Oryzias latipes: one gene and its partner. The protein of the gene in region 2 purifies or fractionates together with the protein of the main gene of each other region. This does not show direct contact. Links are inferred from orthologs where the notes say so. Each region holds a gene or a part of one and is shown on either strand. Other genes may lie near its edges.

What was found. Proteins that work in one complex are often made in the same cells at the same time.
Region 1: the proteins of acyl-coenzyme A thioesterase THEM4 (region 2) and akt1 purify together in Homo sapiens (co-immunoprecipitation; 4 studies listed by BioGRID and IntAct, with this or other methods). This does not show direct contact. The link is inferred for Oryzias latipes from reciprocal best matches to the Homo sapiens genes THEM4 and AKT1.

The regions. Positions count from the first base shown.
Region 1 is NC_019880.2:14,690,672-14,698,682, reverse strand, and holds part of akt1 (RAC-alpha serine/threonine-protein kinase), read right to left. Parts: intron 7,883-8,011; coding exon 7,754-7,882; intron 5,024-7,753; coding exon 4,809-5,023; intron 4,032-4,808; coding exon 3,944-4,031; intron 3,480-3,943; coding exon 3,377-3,479; intron 825-3,376; coding exon 745-824; 3' UTR 1-744. UniProt on the Homo sapiens protein: AKT1 is one of 3 closely related serine/threonine-protein kinases (AKT1, AKT2 and AKT3) called the AKT kinase, and which regulate many processes including metabolism, proliferation, cell survival, growth and angiogenesis.
Region 2 is NC_019874.2:18,084,399-18,092,939, reverse strand, and holds acyl-coenzyme A thioesterase THEM4, read right to left. Parts: upstream 4,869-8,541; 5' UTR 4,515-4,868; coding exon 4,398-4,514; intron 3,787-4,397; coding exon 3,606-3,786; intron 2,931-3,605; coding exon 2,768-2,930; intron 2,507-2,767; coding exon 2,396-2,506; intron 2,057-2,395; coding exon 1,932-2,056; intron 1,845-1,931; coding exon 1,801-1,844; 3' UTR 1,433-1,800; downstream 1-1,432. Other genes in the region: uncharacterized protein LOC101172357, read right to left, coding at 7,076-7,109, 7,233-7,350, 7,445-7,499, 7,638-7,934. UniProt on the Homo sapiens protein: Has acyl-CoA thioesterase activity towards medium and long-chain (C14 to C18) fatty acyl-CoA substrates, and probably plays a role in mitochondrial fatty acid metabolism. Plays a role in the apoptotic process, possibly via its regulation of AKT1 activity.

The DNA.
Region 1 (8,011 bases), on a different chromosome or scaffold from region 2:
TGCCATTCCTCATGTCGAGACTGTATTGCACAATTGATTTGTGAGACCAATTATGGTGTGGCATGACAATACAACTGACTAATATCAGTACTGCATCAGGGTGGGCAGAAAGTGATAAAAAAAAAACAATAATTAACATTTTTCCAGATGAGGAAACTTCAGTCTTAGGGAAATTAGCCATGTGTTACCACACATACAAATGCAGGAAAATCAACTTTATTTGATACGGTACATTCAATTATGAAACAAAAAAAAAATGTCTGAAAGGACTTGGGGAGAACATGGATTTACCACCCACTCAAAAGAAAAAAAAGGAGACTCACTCTCTGCTCACATGATGTTTTTGGTCCACAGCATGCCTATTTTGTATTTTAAAATGTTTGATATTTTATTGTATGTATAAAAAACACCTATTAAGATTATTTGATTTATAGCAGTACCCTAATTTGTGCAACTATTCCCCCGCTCCATCCGTTATGGTGTAGAAATGCTCGGTACAAGCCAGCCAGGAATGGAAGGTAGTGTTATCTCCATGGTCAGTTTTAAAAAGCTGCACAGAGCAAACACATGCATCTTTGTTTTTACTTGCACCCCCTCCTTCCTATTAAACACAGCTTTGCAGATTGTGAATGTTGCAACCAATGGGAGCTCCTGCAGACAATACTGAGAGGACACGGCTGACGCCTCGGCCTTTGGAGAGTGCAGTCGGGTGGAGATGGTGGGACCAGAGGAATGCTTGAGAGTTTAGGCCGTCCCACTGGCAGAATAGGAGAACTGGGGGAAGTGGGGTCTCCGTTCACTGTCAAAGGACTCCATACTGTCATCTGAGTTTCACAGGAAAAAAAAAAGGATGACAATATTAGAAACAAAAGAACAAATATTAGACATTTAAGTCTTTTATGTCCCACTCTGATCATCTTTTGATCCATTGCAAAAACATTCCCGGTCGTCTTTTAATTATGATTATGCAATTGTAAATTTAAAAAACTGTGGGGGGGGGGGGGGGGGGGGGGGGGGGGGTTAGGACATGGTATCTGCAGAGCGTTCATATGAATTTTCCTCTGAGTTGTGGGCAGGACTGTTGGCACAGAACAAGCCCGCCCCTGCTTCCCATCATCCATCTGTCTACATGCTCTCTCACTAGCTTATAGTCCATCATATCCCTAGCCTAACATTGTCGGGACAACAAAAATGGCAAGAAATATTGGAGCTGGATTGCTCCAGCTGTACAGTTTTAAGTCATATACCAGCTCAGACGAGAGAAACGAAAATGTACATGGATCTATTTGTCTACAAGTGGATGCATTAGAATGGAGCAGAACAGGAGCTTGTGGCTTCTACGCAACAGCTACAGGCGTTTTTAAACAGCATTGTTGTGTATGCTCCTGATTCAAAACAATTTTATTTTTATATATATATATATATATATATATATATATATATATATATATATATATATATATATATATATATATATATATATATATATATATAAAATTTTATTTTTTTTTCTAATTTTTTTTCTAATTTTTTATTAGAAAAATGCCACAAGTACATGTTAAAAACATTAAAAACACCATATTCATCAGTTGGTCTATAAGCATTTTAAGCCAATCCAGATATCAGTTGTTCCCTCTTTTCTTTGCAGGGGTTACGTTGTAAAAGTAACCTGCGATAAGTAAAACCCATGACGTAGGATTACGTGAAAATTATTTACAGTCAGTATTTTTTAATTTCACTGCTGTTTGTGCACATATATTTACATGATATGATCAGTAACAGAAGCACATCGTAACTGATCGGGCGCCCCATCCGCTCCTCCCTCCCTCCATCAGGTCTTGTACAGAGATTGCAATCCAGCACGTGTCCGCAAGAACGCGCTGAGCTTGTTTGTGCCTATTTTGTTTTAAATAATTTCTTTAACTAGATGTACCAAAACACTGAAAAAGTTTATATCCTTTGGCTGAAACTTTTATGATAATAAAAGCTGCTCCTATGGGCAGAAGGGAGAAGTATGTGTGATGGTGGGTAGATGGTGTTTTTGTTAAAAGCTAAAAGGATGCTTTTTTATTTTTGAGTGACTATTTAGTTTACAGCCTATTGCTTTTAATATCACTTTGGCTGAACGATACTTTGGATTTTAGTTGAACATTTGGAGAAATTTGACAACAATAAAGAAATCCATTCTATTACACCACTAACTGATATCCAACAAAATTATTATTTCAAATTAAAAATACAATTTTTACATCTAGAAGAGAGAAAAAGAATCAGGACAGAAGGAGGAAAGAAACAGGCTGGTCTTATGGCGGACACTCAGGGCAAAGCCAGTTCATACCAAGTCAGACATTTTCAAAGAGTATTCTTAATTTAAAAAAAAAACATAAGACGTTTAATTAGATTTACTTTAGGGAAACTATAATTTATTCAAAATCTCTTTCATAATGTTGCACTGTTTTAATAAATAACCAGTCAGATCTGAAGAAGAAGAAACATTAGCTGGAATAGGATTGTATCCTTCTTTCCAGTTGTAATGGCTCTCAAACTGTTCATGACCAACCAACTGAGAAGCCTTTGATTTTTGAGACAAAAATTCCATATTAAAATTCCTTGGATCAAAATCAGAGATTACAACTGTAGGTTTGGATCTTCCTGTTTTTTTTAATAAGCCCTTACGTCTTTTAAGACTTTCTGAGCTCAACTGATATTTTCCATCACTGTGTTCATTAATGTAATGCAGTCTACTTGTATGCAGAAGTTCAAAGAAGTCTCTTCAATGCAGATTTACTAATGAAAAAATTAAAACCAAACAACTTAATTTCTTAGATTCTTTCTTTACATTCCGTCTCTCACAGTAGAAGTGAACGTATGATGAACATTACAGACCTTTCTCTTCTTTTAAAGTGGGACAACCTGTGGAATCGGTGACTGACTTGCCTCACTGTATACATCAATCTACAGTACTTCAATGGTGCCACTTTTCCAGTAGAGGGCATACAGAACTAACTTGAACATTTTTAGGAGCATTTCTGCAGAGGCAAAAACTTAATGTACCCTGTTTTGTAAGTTTGAATACGTCTGGCACTTTAATTTGACATCTCATAAAGTTTTTTAAAAGTCCACTGGAATACTTTAAGAGAATACGTTGTGAATATACCTATATTTTCTTGGAACAGTAATTTAAAAAGCCATGCAAAGAAGAGTTAGGATTCATCTTTAGTGTTAAAAGGAATGAATTAGACGAGTTTATCGTCATTCTGTCTTTGGTTGCTCAGGAGCTTTGTTACAAAAAAATACATTCACATAAAACCAAAGTGGGATTTTGTTTTACAGTTTATAACTGAAGCCAAGTTGCATTTCTGTAAGGTTCTTCTACCTTGTCCAGGTGGTGTGATAGTGATGGTTTGTGCCGTGAACTCTTCGTCAAAATATCGTGTATCCGTCTCTGAGGTAACTTGCGGCTTAAATGGTGGGACCAGCTGTGGAGGGGATGAGACAATTATGTGAGGACATTGGCTGACATGAGTCAGAGCAGAAACAGTTGCCAGTCAGCTGATGTTGGTCAGACTTGTGTAGTCGTCATGATCCCTAAAGTATGCATCCATCACAATACAAAAATTGAAAGTTATTTGACCTAAAGGTTTTACGCTTACTTGAATTTTCTTAATTTACATTAATCTTGATGTTTAAAACAATTCATGGGTTATTATATGTATAATATATAAACATCTTTTGACTTCTGTTACTTCATAATTGTTATTTACAGTCCCTTAATTCTTCTTCCTCTACATCAAACTGCACTTTCTTTGCTGTCCAGCAAACATTACCAAAGGTCTAAGAGGAAACTCATTTAATTTCGATTCTTTTGACTGCAAATGATTCTGATTTACTTCACATTACAATAAAAACATGACATCACCTCTGCTGCTTTGTAGGAACCCACCTTCTTCTCATAGACATCCTGCCAAATAATACCAGCAAAGAACTTGTGCTGCATGATTTCTTTTGCATCATTCGGCCCTCCGCCTAACCTGGAAGCAGAGGCACAGCAGATTCATGTCAAGCCTCACCTATAAACAATCAAGCACAGACTACAGTGGTTCTGCAATATAACGCTGTTCATCTTCCCCGGTCTTGTACTTTTGCAAATTTTTTTAAGCAGTGCTTGTGTTCACATTTAGGTTTGAGCTTAAATGTGAAAATGTTCATGTCTGTCTATGTTCACACTGGGCCTTAGAGACGTGCGTTCAAGCGGCCACTTCCAATAAAAAGTCTATGTAAACGCGCATATATGCACCTTTCAATACCCTTGTGTTTCACAAGGCGCTATGCAAGTTTTTAAGTCCATCTTTGGGTTCTACATGCAAAAAGTCAAAAAGTTGAACTTTGACCAGAGACTCTGATTTGGTTGTGATGTATGGATTGCGTCCTTTAACATTCATAGAAGTGTCAACCGGTTAATAATAGATCATGAAGGAGAATTGTATAATTGCGGTTTGTCATCGCACCAAGTCTTTGATATATCGGAAAGCCTGGGGGCAGGATTTGCGAGTTTTGGACCACTTTGACATTTGACATCAAGCCTCTTTTAACTATAGGTACTAGTATCAGGTAGCGACAGTCCAGTGTGAACACCATGTGCTAAAAGCATGATTAAGAACACACGTACATACATCATACATCACATGTCCGGCGTGCACGTAGCATTAGAAAAGCTTTGTAGATTTTGTCTATCGCGAGTTATTTTTATAACGCAACTCCTGCGATAACAGAGGAACCACTGTATATGTTTTCAATAGACGTCTCACCGTTGCATTGGGTCTTTCTTCAGGAGACCAGAGAGCAGGGAACGCGCTTCAGGACCCAGAGTGCGAGGGAAACGGATGTCTTCCATGAGGATGAGCTCGAACAGTTTCTCATGGTCCTGGTTGTAGAAGGGGAGTCTGCCGCACATCATCTCGTACATGACCACACCAAGACCCCACCAGTCCACGGCGCGGCCGTAGTCGTTGTCTTCTAAAACCTGCAGGACAAGAAGGAGCGGGTAAAGAGTTTTTTAATGCAGAGCTTGTGACGTTTCAAGTTGATAATGATTGTGTTTTAGAGCAAAAAGAAAATAACACTTTGGCAACTAAACTTTGGCTATTATGGCTTCTGCTCCCACTGACATCTCGTCTTAGATAGTTTCCTCTGGAGTGTTGCATTTTTAATCACCAAGGGGCCTTTTTTTTTTTTTTTACAAACACACACGGATCCACCAACAAACAGCAGAGGTGCACTTTAAACAAGCAAATATGTGTCCCAACAATAAAAAATAAAAAGGAAAATAAACCAAAATGTAAAAGTCTCTGAAAAGAAAATATTTTGTCTCAGTCTTTCCAAAACACTTTTTGTTGACGGTTCTTACGAGACGCACTCCTCCACGGTTACGCTCGCTGAACATCACAACCTGTTGAATGTCTAATGTGCAGCTGAGCGAAGGCGCTCCAAGGTCTCTGGGGACGCGTACAGGTTTTTACCTCACCAGGCAGATGTTGAAGGTGAAATCAAGACAAGGAGAACCGTCTGTTCTCTTAAACCTTCAACGGCTTGATACAGGATAGATCAAATCTAAGAAAAGGCACTTACATAAAAGCGGATGGTGGAGAAAGGGTTTAGATATGGACAGAGAGGGTTGTGGGTGGAGGGGGGGAAAAAAGGGGCTTCTGGGAAACAGGCGACAGAGGTGCCTGTAAAAGGAATAAGGCTGGTGTGCATTTGAGAATGCGCCCGTGGGCTCTCGGCCTGGAGCTGCGGTGAGCGCCGAGCATCGCGGAGGGCAGAGGGGGAGTAACGTGAAGCCAGCACAGGGCTAGGATTACTGGGTTGTCTCTATTTCCAGCACTGCTGTCGTGTGATTCACACCGTGCGACAGCTGGGCCTGCAGCTGCCCCATATATGTAGAAGAGCACCACAGCTGTGAAGCTGCCAGGAGCGCAGGAGCCAAGCTCATCCCTCATATATGTAACCAGGGCTGCTTCTGAGCCAGTCGGATCCGGCCCCCAGCCCTGAACTAATGCAGTTACAGCACCTCGGAGGAGTAGATATGCAGGAGGGAAAGGGAGGACAGGATGAAAGGGACACTTGCTGCTTCAATTCTTATACTGCATTTTCTTCTGCTTACAGAAGTTCTACGCTGGACGTCATTAATCTTTCAAGCTGGTGAATCCAGAGCAGCGCTGGTGGCTAAATTAAACACATCAACTTTTCTTATTTTGTGGATGTTCGCCCAACAGCCAATTCCCTCAGCCAATAATGGTTTTCTTCTGGAAGTGCTTCATAAAAGTGACTAAGTGAATTTGTCTCACTCCTCACTCTAGAGACACTCTGGTCAGGCTGCTGCAGATCCAGCCTGCCCCCCCCCCCCCCCCCCCCCCCCTCCTTTTCTCTCAGCAGCTCTGGGTGGAATATTCCCAGACGTTACAACATTCCTGTGCAGCACACACACACACACATACACAACAAGGTCATTGTTTACTGCAGAACAACCTGTAACACTGCCTGGCCCGCACTCCATGGAGACGCTCACCAGCGACCCCGTTACCGCGGCAACACCCTCTGCCGCGATGCTGAGTTTAGGAGCCGTTTCGAGCCCTGCAACTCTTCGGAGAGGAGCAGGTTGACACAAATATGGAAAAACAAGTGTAGTTTTTTTCCAGGTGAGAAGGTTTAAAAACTGTGCTGAGAAGGATGTCAGTCTGCTTCCTGAAGGAGAAAAACGTAGCGGCCTGAAGCGCTGTGGAGCTCATACCAGCTCTGAGTAAGCTGGGGTCAGGTGAGGCATCCAAAGCAGCATCAGGCTCTGCAACCTGGTACCACACAACAGTTGCAGCCATTGTGGTCTCTTTCAAACGCCCTCCATCTTCCAGAAGTGGAAGCTCGCATTTCCTCAGGTGCTGCCAGGCTATCACTCCTCCTCCTCCCAACCCCGAACTGCCAAATGCAGTTTAAAAGCAACAATGCAACAACTGTGTCAATACAGACGCTCTCCTTCCTGAAGCATTTTTACAACAGCAGGCAAAAGGGAGCAACAAACACATGTACACTTAAAGTGAAGGATCGAGTTACACAGCACACCCCATACCTGCACGCAACTGGGAGCAGCCACACCCCTTAGAGCAAAGACGAGAGCAGGCTACCCTGCCCTGGGCACGCAAAGTACTCATTAACTTAACTTCAGCTGGAGATTAGAAAGGCATTTTCGGACAGCTGCTCTTTCGGTTAAATTGTCAAATCTATTGATGTGCAACGACACGTGCTGCCTTTTTATGCGAGATCTGGAGATGTCACATGTGTCGAGGGGGTCGGCTTTCCAAAAGCGAATGCCAATCGTGCTTCAGGAGCAGCTAATCTAAAGATTTTTCTCTGAAAACCAAAACAACTTAGCAGTTCATCCTCTGTGAAATAGACGCCAACTTCAGCCTCGTGCAACTTTTAAGGTGCAACGGATAAATGCAAAAAAAAAAAAACAGAATAAAATGTTCCACATACATTAATAAGCGTGAATCCACCATTTAAGCAACTTTATTTGCTACATCCTTGCGCCATGTAGTCAGCTGGTTGCTGAATATTAAGCAGAGCGGGTTTGGTGTGTGGGAACAACTATTCTAAATAAAATGGTCCCCGACCAAAACCTCTACAGTGTTCGGTTTTTCTTTTAGGTCCAAGTGAGATCGGACAACTGGCTTTTAGAAAAATGCTTTCCTGCGCTTACCTCGGGTGCAAGGTACTCCGGTGTCCCACAGAAGGTTTTCATGGTTGCACCGTCTTTGATTCCCTCCTTACACAGGCCAAAGTCTGTAATCTTTATGTGTCCGTCTTTGTCCAGCATGAGGTTTTCCAGCTAAGAAAAAACAAAGGAAAAGGAACCCCAGTTAAAAATTGCAATATATTGACATCAACTCCTTAAGGAACATTTTTTTTAATAGTTCACTCATTATCTGTAGGTCTTGTTGCAAAATGTGCCTAATCA
Region 2 (8,541 bases):
TAAAAAGGCTACTTTTTGCTAAGGGGTTTGTTAAAACCCATGTTAGGTAAATTACTTTTAAAGAGTCACTGATTACTTTACCTCAGTGGTCATGAATTCTTGTCCACTTTACCTCAGTTACTGGATAAAATTGTAATGATATGGACAGTTTGACAGTTTAGTCAAACTGTTGTTCTCACCCTGAATGAATATCAGCATGAAATGGCATAGTGTGGATGCTCTGCTGCTGGTGGTTTTAACTGAAACAAGAAAATATTACCTCCTTCCCCACCTGCCTTACGCTTCATTAACCCAACGTAGCCACATGGTTCTTTAGGGTGAAAAAAAAAGCTTATTTTCCCTTAAATGGCATCTTAGATGTTGCATGCACTTGCTCTCTCTCACGCACAAACAGCACACTCAGTCCGTTTTTCTTTTTTTTTTTTAAAAGCACGTATTTCCATCTGTACTTTACTGAGGTTAAAGATGTAAGGGGCCCTCAGACGACCACCAGACCTATACTGTGAAAAACTTGTATGCTCAGAAACCACAGATCAGACCAAACTATGTGAGAACTGAATTTAAATGGGAGTTTACGTGCGCAAACTGGAATGGTTTTTACCATAACAATTGATGCTTTAGTTAAATATCTAATTGTAAAAAAAAAATGTAAAAATAAATCATTTAATAACATTTTAAAGACAAACATATTGAAAAGAAGTGAATGTTTTTTCCTTAAAACTAAGCAAAAACAAACTTTTTTTTTTAAACCCATTCCTTCAGATGGTTTTGCCTTTAGGACTAAGAGCACACAGCAGTGGTGTGATCAGAGACACCACTGCTTTCACACAAAAAGCAATGTAAAAAACACAGGTGTTTTTCATAAGTATTCTATTATTAGCAATGTGGTCTGAGTGCGATGCCAGAGCAGCAGGAATCTGTGTGGTGCAGATGATGTTCATTATCAAAGCACTGTGTGGCGTGCCTCAGTCATATCTGAATGTAGATTCATGCTCCGAGCGCCAGAGTGAATAGCAGGTGCTGATATGACGATTTCAAGTTTAAAAGCTTTTTTTTTTGGTTTTGTTTGTAAGTCATGATACCCTCATAAGCGTGAAAAACCCATAGGTCTTATTGAAGTACAACCACATCCATCACATGGTGATATAACAACCGACGACCCCAGTGCAAAGATCAAAACAAATGTGCATCATTAAAGTCACGCTGGCTGTCACACATAGAGGGGGGAGAAATTTTGTTTTCTGCATTTGACCCACTGTCTGGGGTAGCAGTGAGCAGCAGTCATGCTCAGGTTCCATTTGGTGGTTCAACTCCCAAATGACAAAACTATGGATTTGATCCATAATATTTTAATCTCTGGGCGGACGCTGTACCAGTAGGACAAATGAGCTCATATGCAAAAAATACTAAAAGAAGGACAAATATAGATATATACTTATTGCAGTTTGTTTTCTGTTGCACCATGGAAGAGTGTTTATTGAGCTACTCCACAAAAATAAGTACAGCTCATTCATGTTTAAGGCCACAATATACCTGAAAACAATACAATTTTGTTCAACAATAAAATACACCTTAAATAAAGTTTAAAGATATGTGAAGTCAAAATAAAAGTTGGCAGAAACTGTTAATAAAATAGCATATAATTAAAAGCAAACAATGTTATATTTACATTCAATTTTCATTTTATAGAAAATATGTACATATTTCAAACCAAAAGGACACTTTTTTTTTTTTTTTACAGTGTCACACACACACACACACCTGTGACAGATTTGTTGTTTGTGGCAGACTGAAATGTTGTCACCCTTTCAGCAGATGAGCGACACTGATCGACACAAACAGTGCTGCATGAAAGAAAACAGCAGAGTGACATTGAAGGCAGCTCTTAACAGACAAGGCTGTTGTGTTGAAATTTGGGGAAATGCGTTTACCTGTTGCATCAGTGTGCCTCTTTGAGCCATCAGTGCTGGTCACTTTGCATGAAATATATAATTTTCTGCCTTCTGTTTTCTCCAGCGTGGACTCAATCAACACTGTGCTTCCCAGTGGGATGGGGCTTGGAATAAGAAAAACTGTTTGTTAGGTCGAGGTGACCCATAATAGTGAAGTCAAGACCAGAAACACTGAAAACAAGAGTCATCTGGGAGCTGTGGAATCACAATGTGTACCAAAATATTTCGTGTCAGTATGCTAAAGGCAGATCAACTTAAAAAGTTGTACAAACGGTAAATTAATGGAAAAAGCAGCTGCAACAAATACATAAATAAACTAATTTTTTTGAGGGCTCCAATGACTTTAAATTTTTGTTTTTCATAAAGAAAAGTAGAAGATCTGAATACATAGGATTCATAAGAAAAAAAACCCCAAAGATAAATTATATCACATCGTTTCATACCTGCGGTAGTCAATGTTGAGGTTGGCCGTCATAACTGGGGCAGAAATCGCAGATGCATGAGTTCCAGTCACTGTGTCAATCATGGTCGCTATTGCCCCCCCGTGGACATGTCTGGAATTACATCCAGCATGGAAAAAGAAGCCACATAAATTCATACTTACTGTGTGTTCTCATTATGGCAAATATGAAAAAACACAAGAAATGTCGGATTAGTCAGACACTCCAAACTACAGCAAATGACAGCAAATACTTGTTTGTGTTTAATTTGAGAGTTTGCTTCATTTCTACCTAAAAAGAATATGTTAGAAAACACTCATCAACTTTTATAGTGGTTTGATTCTAAAATCAATATGGCAAGAAAAGCTGTCTCACCCTGGAGGTCCTTCCAGCAAGTGTCCCGCTTGGAAAACGCACACACACCTCTCTTTTTCTTTGTTGATAAAGAGAACATATTCAAAAGCAGCACCAGGTTCACGAATGTTTCGGGTGAAGAGACGCGCTTTTGACTGGATTATTTTGCTCAGATAAACTCCACCTAATGTGACAGAAAAAAAAAGGATTGTTCGTTATTATATGAAAAGTTAACAACTTTCATGCTTTCTGTTTAACAAACTAAGACCAAGTGCATCTTTATAACCATCCTTATGTTTTTGCTTTAAAAAAAAAAGAAAGATCAAAGCAGCAGTTTTTGAATTCAGTAAAGTGACTCATAAAAGCTACAGTTCATTACTGTACATACATTAAAATTATTTGTTGTAAAAGTTAGATTTTATATGCTAGAAACTTTTCTTTCTCCATTTAATCCTGTCCTAAAGTTACTTATCAGTCAAATAAAATAAAAAACAAGGTTGGCCAAAATCCAATGCAGGAAATGACAACAAATTGAACAAATTTATATTATCTGGTGTTCCTAACGAATGTTTGGGATTAATTTTTTTGTCTTGTAACTATAATATGCTTTGAATCTGATTAAATTTGCATGGTCAGTAAAACATTAATATCACAGCCCTGTGACAGTCAGGAATTCTTGTTCACAGCCATGTGAAAGCTTCTCTGCATTGTGTCTCTAGGTGCCTAAAAACTATGTCTAGACTAAAAATGTGAACAGATAATAATAATAATGATTATCAAAGTTCAAACTGTGCTTTGGAACATTGAAGTGCCCAAAGGATTTTTTTTTAAAAACAGACAAGAATCTTTGTTTCTGTACCTGTTGCATATTTAAGGGAACGGTTGTAGCTTGGGAGTCTCTTCCATTCCCTCCCCTGGTTCTCCTCTCCTTCTGTTTCTACGTCAGATTGGCCGTTATAAAATTCATAGAGTCGCATCATCTCTTCCCCCCATGAGGAGTTGGGCAGGCTGAAGTCCCTGGACTTGGAGAAGAGCATCTGCTGGAGATTTAAAAAAAAAATGCTTTCAGACCTTTCAGATAAAGACATTGTTACCTGAAACCACAGGACAGGACTGAGCCGACGGACTGGATTCCTAAAATTGCACATAGTTGTACAGATGCTAAGTGTTCAGACAAAACATGAGCTATAATGATATAGATTTGTGGCTCCAATTTCATGTATTTTCAGCAATTTGTTTCTCACCTGGTTTCTTTTTGACTAAATAAAAATAAACATTATATTTAATATTTAAAGATTAATACATATAAAGTAATAACATTGTTATTTTCTTAATATTTAAAAAAAGAAAGAAAGAAAAACAGAACTAACAAAGAGCAGTAAAATAATGATCAAATTTCACAAAACATTGTAAATCAGTGTAGTTCTTAGATTTCTATGCCATGGACAATATGAACTCTGTCTGTCTGTGTGCAGGGATCTCAATGTCCCAACAGTCAACCCAACATGACGCTTGAGCTGCAGCCATTCAGAGGCCTTAACTTAACCTGTCATAATGTGGCGCTGGCGATTTCCACAGACAAAAGCCCATTCTAAAAGATGACATGCGTTGATTCCAGCACTTTCCCCGAACAGCTGATCGTTCCACTCACCACCAGAGTCCTGGCAGGAGGAATGCTGCTGCTGTTGCGAGGAGGGCACGCGGGTGTCTTCATGAATGGAACGAGGCTCCCACAGCCTCCGAGTATTCTAGCGAGGTTCCTTGCCATCTTTGAAGGAGTGAGCGAGCACCGATTGTTTTTTAACGCTGCAACTTCTCGAAAAGACGAATTGTTAGTAGTTTTCCCCCCAGCTATTGACGTTTGTCCTTCGAAACGTCCAACGCTTCGTTAGCTAAACCCGTTATGAAATACTCTTGTTGCATTACAAACGTATCAGCTGTGAAATACCTCTTGTACATATTGAACACAGGAGTGTGTTCTGCGGCAGAAGATTGCAAAAATACCTCCTACTGGATTTCACTCAGTTAAATTAAGCGGTGACTTTCATGTGTCACGATGACAAACACTTCATCCAGCTTCCTGCCGGCAAGAGGAATCAGATTGCGTCACACCCACGTGATTGATAGCGTGCATTGTGATTGGCTGTAAATAATTGATCACATTTCCGGTAATACCCACATTGTTATGGTAACGATTGATAATTTTTTCACACCAAAAGGAGGACGGAGACGGAGTTTTGGGGTAAAACTCCGTCGTACATATACATGTACATATATTTATTTATTTTTGTTCATTTAGTCCTAAAAAAAAATCAGTGTCTCTTGAAATGAAATAACTTTTAAGACAAAACAAAAACCAAAAATGCCACAGTTTTAAAAAGTATGATCGTCTACAAGACTTTGTATCTATAATTGGGGCCTTTTTTTGTATGAATAATGCAGCATGGCACAGGTGACCAGTCCATGCCACTACTGGGGGGTTATAGAGGCCTGTAATCCTTTGGAGAGGCAAGCAGTTGATTTTCTGAGCTAAATACAGCAGCTGAGCAGCATTATGTCAAGGATGGATGAATGGAAAGTTTCTGTAAATGCAAGAATTATTGAACTTATAAATAAGACAAAAAATAGAATAGATAGAAAAAAAACAGAAGTATCCACAGTGTGGCAGTGTCTGCCTTTACAATGATGAAGAAACTTAATTTTGCTTAGGGATGTCTGTGTCTTGTGGAATTAACCCTTGTGCTATCTTAGATGACTCTACCCTTACACTGAGATGTTCTCCCTACCATGACAAAGATAGATAAAGGTGGAAAGATTTCATGTAATCCATGGACACCAGTGAAGTTCACAAATCATTGAAGAAAAAAGGTTCAGCGCACTGCCTATTGGGTCTAGTTGACCCAACTCCCAATATTAAAGTGTCTAGGATGGCACAAGGGTTGAGAATGAAAGGAAGTGTTTCAAAACTTCAAACTTTTATTAGTATCTACTACCTTTACTACTATTCATGTTCATTTGCCATTTTCTCCTAAATTGAAATATTAAAGTCCTATTAACCTCATATTGAAATTACAGAAATCCACACAATGAATTAAAGCACGATAAACATTATGCATTCAGCAGTTTAACTGCGTAAACAAAGTTTAACCAAAGATAAAGCATTTCAAATAAACAAAATCAATACATTAAAAGATATATATATTACAATACAATTCTCTGGCAGGGCATCTTAGAAGCAATTTCTTGTAATTCTTGTTTTTATTTATTTTATTTCATTTTCTTACCCACTGCTTTTAAATTATTAATCTTTTTATCAATTAATCTTTTTATTCTATTGCTATTTTTATTGTTTTTAATATGTGTATGTTTTATGAGTGGGCAGATGGCCAGTTTTAAATTTTTCCTCAGGGATTATTAAACACCTTTTCTATTCTATTCTATTCATATATATATATATATATATATATATATATATATATATATATATATATATATATATATATATATATATATTTTTTTTTTTTTACTTGGCTGTTCTTAAAGGCATTTCCTGCCACTTCGTGATCATTCAAAAATTAACTTTTAGAAGCATATAGAAAAACAAGTGGGTTTGTTTGTTTATTTTATTTCTGAAAAACTGTCAGTCTGCACAGGTGAGTTTAAGTGCAATGAAAACCCAGTAACGAGAAGAAAACATAATTACCTTTACAAAGTTTTTAGGTATGACAAACAGAAAAAGGACAAACTAGCAGATACACCTTTTTAACATGTTTTTTTTTTTTTCATGAAACAATATCAGAAACCATAACAGTCAGAAACTGGTATTACATAAAAGCCACAAAGAAAAATGTCTGTTTTTATTTATCACTCTCAATGCATTCATTTGATGTTTTTAGCATCTAAAATGATGCTTTATTTCCATAAAATAAAACATACAAAAGATCAAGGTTAAGCTGGTTTTCACAGGAGACATTCTGCATATCCTATAGTGATCCACACAAGGGCATCCAAACTATGCTAAACATGAACCCTATATAGCTCACATAGACATTGTGAACTGTGCATGACAGCCAGGGTCACGGATGCAAAGAATTACAAAATTATTTAACAAAATAAGTCCTACAAAACCAAAAAGGTCACCTTTGAAAATAATACAAACAGCCATGTCCCAATCTCAGAAGTCTCTCTAATTGATCCATGAACGTGATGTTGATCAACCCAGTCCTCATCACTTAAGAAAATAGGTAGGATCTCTATGCCATCAGTGAATTTCAACAGTATGTTCAAAGCTGGTTTATTTGATAACTGTCCAAGTTGACTAGGTTGACTTCATTTGGGTTCTTCAAAAACTCCACACAGCTTCCTAAAGAAATAAAATGAAGAACAAGAAAATTAAGTTAGGATTTTAAAGACATCCTCCATCATTGCCAAAACATAATTTTTATTTTTTGTTGCTCCTGATGCAAAAAGTGCTTAAAGTTCTTACCGTGCTTCTTCCTTGGTCATATCTGCATAAGCACATAGAGCTTTGTCTCTGCTTAAAACCTGCTCCTTTAAAGACCGAATTTCTTCTTGGGCTTTGTTTTTAGCCTCTTCATGGTCAGCTGGGGGAAAAATAGATAGACCAGGGAAAAACAACTTTCTTTAGTTAATCCATAAAAAATAATAAATAATCAAATTCTTATTTATCTGTCTTACTTTTGAGTTGAGCTAAGTTTTCTTCCAGCTCTGCCTTCTTTTTGTCGGTTTTGACCTAAAAATGAAACATGGGGAGATACTTGTAAGCAGTTAAGATGCAAATATTCACATGGGTCTATTAAAAAGAAGAAAACAATATAAGAATGTATTTTTGCAGGTTTATTTATAATACTAACTAGTCATTGTGTGTTACCTTTTCGCCATTGCAGGTCTCCAGAATTTTCTCAGCTTCTTGTAATAACTTCTCCCCCTCTGCCTTCTTCTTCCTCAGCTCCTCCACTTTACTGTTGACCTTCTCCAGCGTTGACCTGATCTCGTGGATTTTGGTTTTCATTTCCACGATGGAGGCTTCCTTTCTCTTAATTTCGACCGAGCTCTCCACCATCTGGTTCCTCATGTTGCGCAGGTTCATCTCCTGGCGCAGGGTCTGGAAGATCATGGCTCCCATCACGGCCACGCTGATAAGAGCTAAAACGACGACGACCTTCATCTCGGAGGGTGTTTGGGGGTAAAAGGTACAGAGCGCAGGTGATTACTCCGCAGATATCCGTCCGTCGTTCCGCAGGTTCATTCTCTTTCCTGGATGGTGATGTCAGCCTGATCTACCTGTTCAACCTGTGGGGCGTGACGGTCCTCCTGCTTCTTTGTTGCGCCGGCTTTTTTCGTTGTTTCCACCATATCTGCAGAATATGTTTCCACTTTATGTATTTTATAAGTAATTATATAGATATATACATATATTTTAAATACATTTTAAATCCTTGTAGCGAACCTTCTGTTTGTTTTAAATAAAGTTTTAAATAAAGTTTTGAATTGCAAAACTGTTTGGGCTAATTTAGCAGATAAGCTAGCAGATATTTAGGTTATTTTCACTTATTAATATCAATATTTCAGATAAACTCAGAATTTATTACTTTTATAAAACTAGACTGAAAGTCAGAAATGTGTGAAAGTATAACAGGTGTCATGTCGGCCTCTGAGAAGGAAGAGGGCGTTTCAAATCGGTAAGCCGTGCCCCAGCACAGGGCCAGCCAGCTACAAGTGCAGGTGAATCACCTGCTGTCCGAGCTCCAATGACTTTCGTTTGCTAACAGGGA